3 linked regions of the Tribolium castaneum genome follow. Each later gene encodes a partner of the first gene's protein in a complex. Links are inferred from orthologs where the notes say so. Each region holds a gene or a part of one and is shown on either strand. Other genes may lie near its edges. The genes, in order: brun, gry and trafficking protein particle complex subunit 12.

The links.
Region 2: brun (region 1) and gry share a complex: the UniProt entries of both Homo sapiens proteins name them as parts of the multisubunit TRAPP (transport protein particle) complex. The link is inferred for Tribolium castaneum from reciprocal best matches to the Homo sapiens genes TRAPPC9 and TRAPPC11.
Region 3: brun (region 1) and trafficking protein particle complex subunit 12 share a complex: the UniProt entries of both Homo sapiens proteins name them as parts of the multisubunit TRAPP (transport protein particle) complex. The link is inferred for Tribolium castaneum from reciprocal best matches to the Homo sapiens genes TRAPPC9 and TRAPPC12.

The regions. Positions count from the first base shown.
Region 1 is NC_087399.1:3,381,907-3,386,386, forward strand, and holds the start of brun (protein brunelleschi), read left to right. Parts: upstream 1-1,351; 5' UTR 1,352-1,503; intron 1,504-1,548; 5' UTR 1,549-1,580; coding exon 1,581-2,694; intron 2,695-2,740; coding exon 2,741-3,237; intron 3,238-3,280; coding exon 3,281-3,521; intron 3,522-3,567; coding exon 3,568-4,480. Other genes in the region: ATP-dependent DNA helicase PIF1, read left to right, coding at 1-241, 319-843. UniProt on the Homo sapiens protein: Functions as an activator of NF-kappa-B through increased phosphorylation of the IKK complex. May function in neuronal cells differentiation. May play a role in vesicular transport from endoplasmic reticulum to Golgi.
Region 2 is NC_087395.1:23,286,827-23,291,326, forward strand, and holds the start of gry (trafficking protein particle complex subunit 11), read left to right. Parts: upstream 1-1,461; 5' UTR 1,462-1,600; coding exon 1,601-1,983; intron 1,984-2,028; coding exon 2,029-2,394; intron 2,395-2,445; coding exon 2,446-2,676; intron 2,677-2,717; coding exon 2,718-2,859; intron 2,860-4,500. UniProt on the Homo sapiens protein: Involved in endoplasmic reticulum to Golgi apparatus trafficking at a very early stage.
Region 3 is NC_087396.1:17,554,081-17,558,647, reverse strand, and holds the start of trafficking protein particle complex subunit 12, read left to right. Parts: upstream 1-1,598; 5' UTR 1,599-1,736; coding exon 1,737-2,036; intron 2,037-2,082; coding exon 2,083-2,259; intron 2,260-2,308; coding exon 2,309-2,647; intron 2,648-2,693; coding exon 2,694-3,028; intron 3,029-3,073; coding exon 3,074-3,305; intron 3,306-4,567. Other genes in the region: Dlc90F (dynein light chain Tctex-type), read left to right, coding at 1-337. UniProt on the Homo sapiens protein: Component of the TRAPP complex, which is involved in endoplasmic reticulum to Golgi apparatus trafficking at a very early stage.

The sequences.
Region 1 (4,480 bases):
TGGACAAATTCCTGAAGATATGGCGACGAGATTGGCCGAAACGTCGCGACAGAATATCGAAAAGAACGGGATTTTGGCCACGAGGTTGTGCTCGCACACGCTGGAAGCGAACGCGATTAACGAAGCGAAACTTAACGCACTGCCGGGCGAAAAACTCGTCTTTACGTCCGAAGACTCACACCCGCATCTTATCAAGCAGTTGGATCAGCAAACCTCCATCCCGCACACGCTCGAATTGAAGGTTTTTATCCATTATTCACGATTTTTTTGGAAATAATTAACACAGTTTTTTAATATTCAAAGTTTGTTTTTTTGCAGGTCGGTGCGCAGGTGATGCTTTTGAAAAACATAAACATCGCCACGGGGCTCGTGAACGGCGCTCGTGGAGTCGTCAAATCCTTCCAAGAAGGTGTTCCCGTTGTGCAATTCCGTAGCAAAGAATATGTCGCAAAGCCTGAGCGCTGGTGCGTCAAAAGCGCCACCGGTGTTATGCTCACGAGGAAACAGGTGCCCCTTAAACTAGCGTGGGCTTTTTCCATTCACAAGTCCCAAGGTTTGACGTTAGATTGTGTTGAAATGTCGCTAGGAAAGGTGTTTGAAGCCGGTCAAGCTTATGTTGCGTTAAGTAGGGCCCAAAGTTTAGACACGCTGAGGGTTTTAGGGTTTAAGGCCTCGCAAGTCTGGGCCAATAAAAATGTTTTGGATTTTTATCGGTCGTTGAACTTGCAGATGGAGGCCATGAGACTTATTCCCTTGGGGAGGAGAGAGGACAAGGCAGCGGTTAAAAAATCCTACAAACCTAATGCGAAATTGATGAGCAAACCTTTAGTTACTATTAATTAAGTCGCGTATGGAGAATGATATATTTTACATTTAGATTAAGTTTAAAAGTGAGTATTCGATTAATAAAGTATTATGAAACGGTTTTTATTGGCCTGACCTGACCCGACCCTTGCCTTGTTAATTAACCACAATCTAGGCGTTTTTTACGCTTTCAGCTACAGTTAAAAAAATACAGTTTGCGAAATCGGGAAATCTTAAAGAATCTTTAAAAATTCATTAAGGTCCCAAGGGGTTCGGGTGTCCGAACATGATTTTTTTACAGTCGAAGGCCCTATCGGAGGGCTTAATCTCCTGCAAAAACAAAGAAAATTGCAGGATATAAAGGGGGTGAAAAAAATCAGTTTGCATTGCTTGAACATGAGAATAAAAAATGCAGAAATTAAATACAGTCATGTTTTAATTTGTAATAGAAACACATTTGAATGGTCAGGAGATGTTCTACCAATGTGATATGCAAATCAGCGTAACAGCTTATTGATGTTTTTACGATTATTTTGATAATTTTCCTGGTGTGAACTTGGCTGCATAAAACTATCTCTTACTCTCATAGGTTATGTTGATGTCGTGAAGTGTCAAATTGCTGACCCTAAACGTAGTTTAAGTGTAAAAAGAGTGATTTGCGCAAGAACAGGCCCCTCAGAGGCGTAAAGCAATGATCAGGTAATTATTTACGGCCAAAGAGTGCGTTTTATTCGGGGGGCGAAGTTTGAAATGTAGGTGATCCCCAGGCCTCACAAATGCGTTCTTCGGTAAGTTACATCCTTTCGAGTAGTACCAGCGAGCCAAACATGTCTCACCCCGACTACGAACAATACTCCCATGACCACGCTGCTCTCCTGGTGCTCGTACGACACATAGGCTCCCAACTAAAGCCCAAAACATTCCAAAAATTCCACGACCGTATCGCCAAACTCACCTCAGTCCGCATCACCGACTCGACGGGAAACGTCCGCACGATTCTAGTCCGTTATGTGAAGGAACACCCCGTTGAAAACAACGATTGGGGCGACTTCCAAACCCACCGACGACTCTTAGGTCTCGTCTCTCTGGGAAAATACGACTCCCAGCAAGAGCTCAATGAAATATGCCGCGTCCACGAGAGTCTCAAAGTCAAATACACCGGCACGTTATTCGATTCGCGCTGCATTTTGTTCGGCCCCACGAAGGAGGCGAGCAGCTCGCCGGAAGACACCTCGAGCCCCAACACCGACAGCAGCAGCAGCGCCCCCGAGGAGAACATCGAGAAGTTCACAACGCCTAGCAACTTCAAGACACGGGGGCTCTTCTACGACGAGAGCGCCCCGTGTGCTGACCTCGAAACCCAAATAATCGAATTCATCAATTCGCTGTTTTGGGTGCTTGAGTCCAAACGACTCGAACGCTCGCGCGAAAAGCTCGAACGGGTCTCCCTCCTGCTCGCCCCCTTTGAGAAAAAGGACTTCGTGGGGCTCGACATGGAGTCGCGCAACAACAAGAAAAAATGCACAGGCCGGATGACCAAACACTTGGGCGATTTGTGTCTGCAAGCGGGGCTGCTGGCCGAAAGCCTGGTTTATTACGGCAATGCAGCCGAGACGTTGAAGAGTGTCAACGATTGGTTGTGGCTGGGGGCCGCCTATGAGGGTTTGTGTGCCGCTTCTGCTCTAGTTTTGTACCCCGAGATGCAGCGAAGTGTGCAATTGCAACGTAACGCCAGTTTGCAAGAGGGTTCCTCGCCGAAAAAAACAGTAGTCGCGAGTAATCTTGACGTGGGGGCGAAGAAAGCCTCCGTGCCCAACACACTAGCCCCCGAGGATATCTCGAAGAGGTATCGGGAGGCGATTATTCACTACAGCAAGTATCAAAATGCGGGTGAGTTGTGTATAGTTGGTTGCATACCTTGCCAAGTTTCATTTAGGGATAGTCGAGACTGAGGCGAGTTTTAAGGCCGCCCGCATCGCTGTTGAGCAAAACCACTCACTTCAAGCCGCCTCGTTTCTACAAAACGTGGTCTACATCAATTTAACGCTCTCAGAGCAGGAAAAAATCCAGCGTTTTGAGACCTTGGCCGAACTTTATACGCAAATTGGTTTCACGCGTAAAGCCGCCTTCTGCCAACGGCTCGCCGCCACCAGATACGTCTCGCCCCAAAATCCCGCCCCCAATTGGAACCGCTGCTATAACCTCATGCTCCACAGCCTTCCCGGCCATCGCCTATCTTTAGATCCGGCCGAAATGAGGGAGGTTGAACAAGGGTGGCCAATTCTACAAATTCAATTGTTACAAGAACTGGTGGTGGCGGCGAAAAGAATGGGGCATTCGGCGTTGGCGACTCGCCACATGACGTTTTTGTTGCAAACAATGTGGCAGCATTTGACGCCGACTGAGCAGAAAGAACTGGCGATACAGTTACAAGTACGTTTTTTTTAGGGGAATAACATAATCAAGATTATTTTAGGCCTTATCGGCGCAATGTGAAGGGTCACCGGTGCCCTTGGTGTTGGACAGTGGCGTTGTTATACCACCGGCCAACTTGACCAATATTCCACTTTGCCATTCTTTTGTTTTGAGGAACTTGCAGCCCCATTTACAGCCGCGGAAAATACAGGCTGTAAAGCAGGACACGGGGCCGTTTTTGTTCACTCCAATTCATTTTGGGAGTTTGGATCGGAGGAGCACAGCGAGTCAAACTAAAATGGGTAGGGAATTTGATACACACGATTGCTTGATTAAAAAAAATTGTAGCATTTTTGTGGGTGGAGAACGAGCCTTGCGAAGTCACCCTCAAGCTGTCCAACCCCCTGCCCTTCGAGTTGAAGGTTTCGGACATGCGTTTGTTGACATCAGGTGTCGTGTTTGAGTCACTCCCCGAAACTGTGGTTTTATCACCGTCGGGGGCTCCCCCATCTGTTACGACCCTCCATGGCACGCCGCGCGAAAGCGAAGGCCAGCTCCAACTCCAAGGCTACAGCACGCACACCCTTGGCGTCAAATCCAACTGTCGGTTGAGACACATGAACGGGTTTCCACCCCATTACGAGGTCGAAATCGTCCCATCCCTTCCCTTACTCGAGGTGAAAACATCGCTCCCTCAAAGCGCCTCCTTCTCCTCATTCCACGACTACGAAAACGTCGTAACCTCAGCCAGTGTGAGTCTCCACCACGGCGAAAGCGCCGAATGCACAGTCACCATCACAAATATCGGGCATGTTGACGTGGAGATGCTCGAAGTTTCGATGCAGACGGTCCTGGAACCGGCCCTCCAAGAACAGATGTTCACTTGGTCGCAGGAGAACCTCCTAAGTCAATTGCCCCTAAAACCGAATTGTTCGGCTAGTCTGACGTTGTATTTGTACGCCGCTGGGAGTTTTCTCGTCCCGGGAGGCACAGGAAATGAATTCAGCAGTGGCGTTTTCAGTAGCAGTATTTCAGGCCCGGGCTCGTTACCCTCGCGACTGAATTCACCAACTAGTAGCAGTTTTCACAGAAATGTTAATTCGAGCTTTCGGTCCTCGAATTCGGGCCATTCGAGCATGAGCGCCACTTTACAAATCCCCCACTTGCCCATAAACCAGCAAGCATCGTCCGTTGTTGAGGGACAGTTGCAGATACGGTACAGTGGGGGGCCAGGCTTGCAAGCGTCGTATTGTCGGTGTTG
Region 2 (4,500 bases), on another chromosome or scaffold:
AAAAATCCTTTGAATTAAAGTTATTGATAAATAACTAATTTTAGATAAATGATATGTGGCAACGTTGTCTAACAGTCATGATCGCAATAGAATTTGATCAACAATAAAAATAAATTATTTTTGAAACGGTTTCCTAGGAAATAATTCCCAGTGTTGGCACATCTACACATTGTGATTTTTTGGATGAATTTTAATTTTTTTTTAATTAAAAAAACTGCTAAAATCTGATAGTAAATTTAAAAATAATTATTCATCGTTTTGTTACGGACGATTACCTGGTATGAAACATAGAAATATAAAAAAATAATGATAACTAAAGAAGTTAACACAATAAGTTTGTAGCTCAAGATTTTTAAAATATGACTTTAGGAATTTTTTTAACATTTTTCCCGTGATCTACACGTGCTTCTCAACAACGTACCACTGCGTTGGTGCGCCAGTTTGTGAGCAGCCTGTAGATAAATCTAGATAATTCTTTTGTTCTCTACACACATTCACTGAAACTTGGTTAGATAATAACTTGATAATATCGGGTGATTCAAAAATGTGTGGCATAATTTTAACCACGAATACCCCTCTACAATTAAGAAAAATTACAATTTTTCAAAAATTGGTATGGAAAAATGGTTTTTTGAAAATATTTTTGTTACCGTTCATGCGATTATTATGAAATTTTGCATGCCAAGAGACACAAAGACGCCCTTTGATATGTGTAAATGGAAATCTTGTAAAAGCTATACATTTCCGGTGACAAGAGGGCCCTTCCAGTTTTTAGGTGATAACTCAATTTTTCGGCCTATAAACACGTATTTTTGATGTCAAAAATCAAAAGCCCAATTATTTTTTAATAAAAAAGGTACTCTTGCTTCATGTCGTCAAAACTGTACCGTTCTCGAGTTATTTGGGATTAAACTAAACTCTAAATAAAACGTCTTTTTTATTGTTGAATTGGTGGTCAAAAGGGCATTGTGTGACAAAACCGATTTCGGGGTGAAATGTGGCGAAAACTGCAATAGTGCATTTGCGGAGCTGGACAAGATAAATTTTTTTAACATTGTTCCGACAACTAAAAGGCCATAATTTTATTTTTGAAAAACGTCTTTTTTATTGTTGAATTGGTGGTCAAAAGGGCATGTGAGAAAAACCGATTAGGTCGGTGAAATGGGCGAAAACTGCAATAGTGCATTTGCGGAGCTATAATTATTGAAATTAGGTGAAAAAGTGGGAAAAATTAAGAAGCAATTTGTGGTAAATAATTGAGTTTTTCGCTATTAGCACAGTGACTTTCTTAAAATGTCATTTTTAAGAGGGTGTTTAGTGTTTTTCGGATTTTATTTTATTAAACGGTTTCAACGCTGACAACCAAACATACATCTACGCAAATTGAAACGTATTTTGCTAGTGTGAAACTGGCTTCATGTCGGGTTTCTTCGGAATTCGAGGAGCTGGTTTGGGGAGCTGTCTTCACACAAATCCAGAAGCACCTTGCGAGAAACGTCACAACAACATGACGTTTGTGGTTATGTCAGTTCGGCCAAAAAATACGAATTTTTGATTTTTTCACTCAAGTATGCAGACATTGTGAACTAAATAACTTAGAATGCAGTCCTACATCCAAAACACTTCCGATCTTCCGCCAGAATTGTGCGCCAAGCCTCTGGCTCTGGTAGGAGTGTCTGGACTAGACACCCTCAACAATGCGGTCCACAAATCAATCTGGGAGACGTTTAGCAATAACAGGCGGGCTGACCGGTCCCCAGTCTTCTTTAAACTAATCAGCAATGCCCACGAATTCCCCGTAATTAAGCCAAAACGCAACTCCTACGACTGGTACATTCCAAAGGGGATTCTGAAGCGCAACTGGATGAACAAACACCTGTACGAGATCCCGGCAGTGATTGTGATTTTCTACGACTTGGACTGGAATGACAGTTTGTGGAACGAGAAGATGATCGAATGCGCCTCTCGAGTGCAGTCCTTGAGGTGCGTTTTTTCTGTTGGGGGGTAAAATTTACATTTTTCCAAAAGGGCAGCGCTGGAGGGGCGCAACACGCGCATAGCTGTGGTCCTGATCCAGAACACTCTTCCTTTGCCTCCTGGAGAGGACGTCCTGGCCTCTGACCGCGCTGTTAGTTTATGCGCTAGTTGCGAATTGAACGCCAGTTCATTGTTTGTTTTGCCCCACGGGGACCATCTCCAGGGGTATGCTGTGCGACTGGAGAGCGCTTTCGCTTTCTACGAGTTCGCCCAGAGTTATTACCACAATGAAATTAAAACCATCAGGTCGCATAAAGAACACTTGAACAAGAGTTCGCATCAGTATTTATTCGTGAGACATCAGTTCAAGATGGGGTTTCTGTATGAACTCAAACAGGACGTTCATACGGCTCACAAGTACTTCATTTACGTCCTTTTGCAACTTTCTTTCAATTAATTAATTTGTAGACATTACACTCATGCGTATAATTATTTATTGGAAATTCGGGTGGTGGACACGAACGCGTTAGAGATCAGGACCGTGGCTGGTTTCATTAATTACAAGTTGTGCAAGTTGATGTTTGCGTTGAATTTACCACGTGATGCCATTTCGCAGTTTAAAGCCCACATTGATCGCTTTAAAAATCGAATGGGTTTTCACGAATTGAGTTTTGAACACTACGCCTGGCTGTCGAAACAGTGAGTGGTTTAATTTGGTGGGGAAATCATTATTTGTTTAGGTTTTCCGTTTTTGGTGATATTTTTGATGAAGCCGTGAAGTTGGGATTACCGGCTGTCCAGACCCAACATCCGGGGATTTACTACCAGCAAGCTGCGCAGTACGCCATTCTCCGGAAAAAGTCGTGCCAGGAGTTGTGTTCCGTAAGGAAAAAAAAATTTTTTTAAGTCTTCGGACAATTTTTTCGAAATTACTGACTACAAACGCATTTCTCCTAAGACTGTTAGAGATTTGAGTAGCAATTTTTTTATTTTAAAAATAAAAAAAAAAGATCCTGTAGCCGAAATTATAATCCGATTTTCTCCGGGTTCTAGTTTTTCGATAGAAAATTAAAAGCAGATTCTAACCACAGAGATTTCAGGCGGTTTTTAATTTTTTTAGCGTCAGGTCTGTTGATCTCGAGAAAAATGCGTTTAAAGTTTTTTATATTAGAATTTTTAACTTTTTTTAAACGGCGATTAATATAAAATTATCCTTATTACTGTACAAAACACTATGACTAAAAATAATTTTTCAAATTACAAACAGCGAAATTAAATGAACTATTGCAAAACACCGTTGTAATAAGCATTAAAAAATCTACAAGGTGAGTCTAATAAAAGTGTATCTCAAAAACTAATCATCGCACGAAATTCAGCGATTGGTATAAATACTTTAGTCTTGTTTCTATCATTTAATAAAATAACTTATTCTCAATGTATCTATAACTACATGTGATTTTTTCAGAATTTTTCTACAGTTGTTTGTTCGTAATTAAGATTAACTAATTGATTAATAAATTATCTAATATTGTCGCTGTAAGAAATTATTATTCCGTATATTATTTCCAATGCCATAAAAAATAACTAATGCTTAAGTATCGCTACGCCAAAAAATATTTAAATAAAAATTAAAAATTATATAAAATATATTTTTTGTAGGTAGTATGTGGAATTATGAAATCTCGATTAGTGAATATTTTAATATTTTCAATACTAATATTTTTAATTTATTGAAATTTATAGTAAGGAATTCTAGAAAATATTTGAAAAAATTCATATGCACAGAGAAAAAAGGTAAAATACGTATTTAATAAAAGTAATAATAAAATAATAATAAAAATGCTAATTTTTATGTGATAACTGATTAATTAATTACATATTAGTTTTTGACATTTGAGTAATATTGTACTTTTAGCAGAATCACCTTGTATAAATGAGACAGGTTTGAAGCGAAAAACCTCGCACTGCTCGTTATATTAATTTTTGTTTAATACAGGGTGACTAAAAAATCGGCTGTAGAATTTTTATTTATAGTTCCGATTTCAAAAATTAAAAATAATGAAGTGGCTTCTAATGTAGTATGATCTAATACTTTTACATTTTTTCTAAATATTATAGTGTATTTTGGGCTATTTTTTAAATTGGAACCTACATTTTTCTTTTCATAAAATGGAAGATAACAGTTTTTTGGTACAAATACGAGTGGTAAGTTCTACTTGTACAAAAAAATATTGCTTAAAAAACTTATCAGATTTGAAGAAAATGAATAAAAGTTAATAAATTCTAGTTGTACGGTATCAAATAACACAATGACGTTCGTCAAAAAGCAGGGAATAAAAGATAATATTCCGAAAATTTTTTCACCACACATGTGAAGTAATTAAAATAATTCATTTAATTTCTGAAATGGGGCCATAAGTAAAAATTGTGAAGCCCTTGCCGTTTTCAAAGAATAACCCCGCATAAAAAATGAAGGATCTAAGTTGACAGAATTATAACAAATAAGGTTTTTTGCACTCAAAC
Region 3 (4,567 bases), on another chromosome or scaffold:
GGACCAAGATCTGCAAGAGGAGGGCCAGTTCGTGGTCGACGATGTGAGTAAGATCATTAAAGACGCGATAGAAACTGTGATAGGAGGCAACGCATATTCCCAAAATAAAGTCAATGACTGGACGACTTCGGTCGTGGAATGTTGCACATCAGAATTGACGAAATTGATGAAACCATACAAGTACATCGTGACCTGTACCATAATGCAGAAGAACGGGGCCGGTTTGCACACCGCTAGTTCGTGCTATTGGGATAATAACACGGATGGGAGCTGCACCGTGCGTTGGGAGAACAAGACCATGTTCTGCATTGTATCAGTATATGGATTAGCTATTTAAATATTTCAACAAGTAATTACAGTCATGGATTTGCCTTTCAAGAATAATTTATCGTATTTATAAGTTTCTACTTGATAGTGATTGTTACGTATTAATAAAGTCATTTTTTTATTTGGATTTTGTCATATTATTTACATTTGAAACTACAGTTGTTAGCTGTTTCAAAAATATAAAAACGCCAACGTCGCATTCTCTCTCAAAATTAGCTGTTATATTATTCATGCATTTCAAAAAAATAACAGCTTTGTTCGCGGTAGCGATCCTGAACTAGTTCCAGCTCTAGTACGCTGAATCCCGGATCGGTTCAGAATTAGTCCCAACGATCCTGGGACTCGACGAAGGATTTTTAGTTCTAGACGTGCGCAGTTGAAAGCGGTTTTGTCTCTGTTACTCTCATGTCTTTGAATATTTTTGAGATTGGAATCAATATAAATAAACTGTCTGTTTTGATTACCGGAATTTAGTTAATACTTTACTAAATCGTAATTATTTGTATATAAAATAATGTTTGTAAATTTGAAAATGGGTTGTTTTCTACAATTTATACCTTTTCGTTTTAGGTTTTTCGAATAACTCATTTCTAACTTTGTTCAAATTTTTGTAGCTTGTTAGTTTTTAAACATTTGTTGTGTACTTGACAACGATAAATTATCGTTTGCGGTTGACTAAAATCCATAACTGGTTCAGAACCGCACATGCGCTGTAAATAAATCCTGGACTACTTCAGAATTAGTTCTAAAAATCCTCCGCGAACAAAGCTAATAAATAGCTAATACAATTTCTTCTTTCAATGAGAGATCTTAGCATTCATAACTATTTTACAGTTTTATCAGTCTTATGTAAAAAGATAATTCGGTAAAATGTGACGTTGCTTTTTAATTAAGCTGTATAAAAATGTAAAATAGTTATTAAAGATTAGATCCCTCATTGAAACTACGGACTGTTTATAAAAGAGTGTTGGCTCTCAGGTGGTTCTGTAATTTAAATTTGCCGCATTTAATTATTTTATTACTATCAAATTTCTGAAAAGTACCAGTAAAACTAACATTGTTCGTTTTTTCTTGAACAAAACGGCAAACTTCTGAAACCTACTACGATCCTACATTCATTTATAGACAGATTGTATAAATTACATTAGCTATTAATTTTTTGAAGGGCATGAATAATTTAGAACAGTTAATTTCGAGGGAAAATGCGACGTTGGTGTTAATAATAGAAATAGAAATTCGCGCCATAAACCCATTTCAAGTTTTTCTACGATTGGCTACAGTGGATGTCAATGTCACTAATAAAAAAGTCACTCGCAAATGTCAATAAACGAACGTAAACAGACTTTCGTCGTATTTATTTATTATAAGTTCGTGTAAAGATCGAGGTATTTAGTGAATAATTGCTAGACATGTCGGAAAGCGTGCCCCCGTCCTTGAGTCAATACTTCGGCGAAAAAACCGACGATAAAGTAAAGACAATAGACCTATCCGAAGAACTAAATGAAGCTTCCACAAAAATAACCGATCTTAAACTAGATGACAATCTCCCAAGTGCTAAGAAAAACGAACCAGAAGTGTGTCGAATATTCGCCGAAACGCCACCACAAGCCAAAGATCAGACGACGTCATTCTTCGATTTAATTGGAAACAACCACAGCGTTACCTCCAACGGCTTGATATCAAACCTCGACATAACGCCAAACAACGACGTGAGTGACCTAATTGTGTGTTCCACAGTTTGGTAAATTTTTCTAGGACGGTTTTTGCCCCAGAGTGGCACTAGGCTCGGAAGCAGACCGCAGGAGAGATGCCTGGATACCTAGCGAGAGGACCAGACAATGTCTCATTGCGTGCGCCACGGCAGCCCCCGGTACGTATTTTCCAGACAGGGAGCTCCTCACCATGCCTGGGGTCCTGCTAGAAGAGGATTTGGTATGTTTGCTAAATAGTCAAAGGGGGAAAATTAAACTTATTTAAAAAGGGGGACAATATCGGGGAAGCAGTCACCTTGTGTCTTGGGGAGGCCGAAGCCGCGCAACGAAGTATCTTGTCCGAAAGCGACGTAACGCAGGACGAAAGGGGACTGAGAGAGTTAGTACAAGCGGGTTCATACCGAGCCGCAATTAATTTAACTGCGAGACTTTTAACCATTTACGGCCAGGGTCGGGGCCGCGCGGGCCATCCTAGCAAACATTCGCCCCATTCGTTACAGCTGTGGTTCACTCGTATCGCCCTTCTAGTCAAAATCAAAGCCTTTGCAGTTGCTCAATCGGAAGCTGCCCCTTTTGGTCAGCTCGACAAGCCGGACGTTTTCTACCAGGTCTCTAGCCACAAATCACCTTCGACCACTTACCGCAATTTTACAGTTTTACCCCGAGATGTATGGGGGCCGTCCAGGCTCCATCGCTTCATTTTCATTTCGTTTACTCTTAAGCGAACTGCCAATGCATTGCGGTAAACCCAAAGACTCGTTAACAAAGCTGTACAGTATGAAGTCCACGATAAAACAAATGTTGGATAACTTGAAACAGGGCTTGAGCGAGGACGGCAGCCCTATCGAAATTAGTGAGTCGGATCGCACCGATTCGATTCGACTTTGGACGGGGCGCGAGACTCGAGTCATGCACTCTATTGTTAATTGTGCCCTGGCCTTGAAAGATTATGAATTGGCAATGGTGATGATGGAAGAGTTGTGTCACAGGTGAAAAATAGGCGAGGGAAGAAAGTTTCTAATGGTGGGTTTAAGGGATGGGACGGCACGTCATATGTTGTATTCGGCGTTAGGAAGGTTGAGACTGCAAGTGGGCGACGTGGCAGGGGCGGAGACTTGTTTTGATGAAGCAAGGGCTTTGAGGGGTAACACGACGGATTTGAGGGAGTATGTGGATCGGGGGTTGCTCGCTGTGGCGCAGAATTCGTTTGATGAGGCCTATGTCTGCTTCCAGCAAGCCAGTCTCCTGGACCCCACAAATGTTATGGTAAAGTTTTTTTTTTGGTCCCTACGTATTAGCGCCAATGGTGTATGTAGATTCACAAAAACAATTCCATGTTATTCCAATTCGTTCCAATTATTTTCAAAAATGTACACCTAATAAAAAAGTATTACTAAGAAAAAAGAAGCGGCCGAATTTCGAGTGGCATTCGAAAAAGTTAGCAATAGACCTGTTATATTTTCAATAGTGAGTTATCTTTAGAGTCAAATAACTCTGAATTTACCTAAACTTAATGCTCGACTTAATATTAGTTAAATAATGACGGTTCTTTGAATTACTACCTTAGGTCTGAGTTACAAAAATTCTAAGTTAACTTAACAGAGGTTATTTCGAAGTTGTTTTTTTTTTGGCTTTAATCTGAAGTTTCTTTTTAACTCGAAATTAACTCGACATTGTCCTACTTTACCTAAGATTCTAATAAACTATGTTACTTAACAAAAAATCATTGAACGTATATTAATAATGTGATAATTATTGTTGAATAAAATTTTTCGAAATTTCTTTTGTTTTCGAGTGATGCAAAATTTTATTTATTTATTTTTTTAATGGTTAAGTTCAGAGTAAAACCTTCGCAAAACACTGGTTTGAAAACATTATTGGATTAAAAGTAATTTTTAATCTTTAACCAAAAAAATCGTCCTACCTTTAAAAACAAATAAATACGGTTTCGCATAACTAGAAAACTAAAAGGAAAATTTTATTCTTTAAAAATTATCCACAATTTTAACAGATTTGGTAGGTGATGATCATATTCTAAATTCTATTTTTTTCCATAAAGTAAATAGTTATAGAAAGTCGATTCAAGCTTTTTTGTCATTTGAAACTTTTCGCCGTATTAGAGGAAATATTGTAGAACGAGTTTTTAGCTGAAAATAGCGTAACTTTCGACCATGGAAGGCCCTTTCGACATGATATTGTAATTTTTTTTTGGGCGTGTTATTAACTTCTTTTAGGGAATTTATGCGAAATAAGTGAGTTTTTTTTTGGCTGAAAAAAGTACTAAAACCCTCGAAAAATTACATTATTATTTATTATTATTTATTATTTCTTCTGTTGTGCAAAATTTAATTTTTACACTTTTGGTTTATAAGTGTGCTCAAGCATTTGGGAACAGCAAAAATAATAATAATTTTATTAAAAGTACTAAGATTTCAAAAAAATGTAGGTGGTGATATGGTTATGCACTAGTGTATTTTTGTTAATATCTTCATGTTAATAATACCCACATTATTTGGTTTTGATAACTT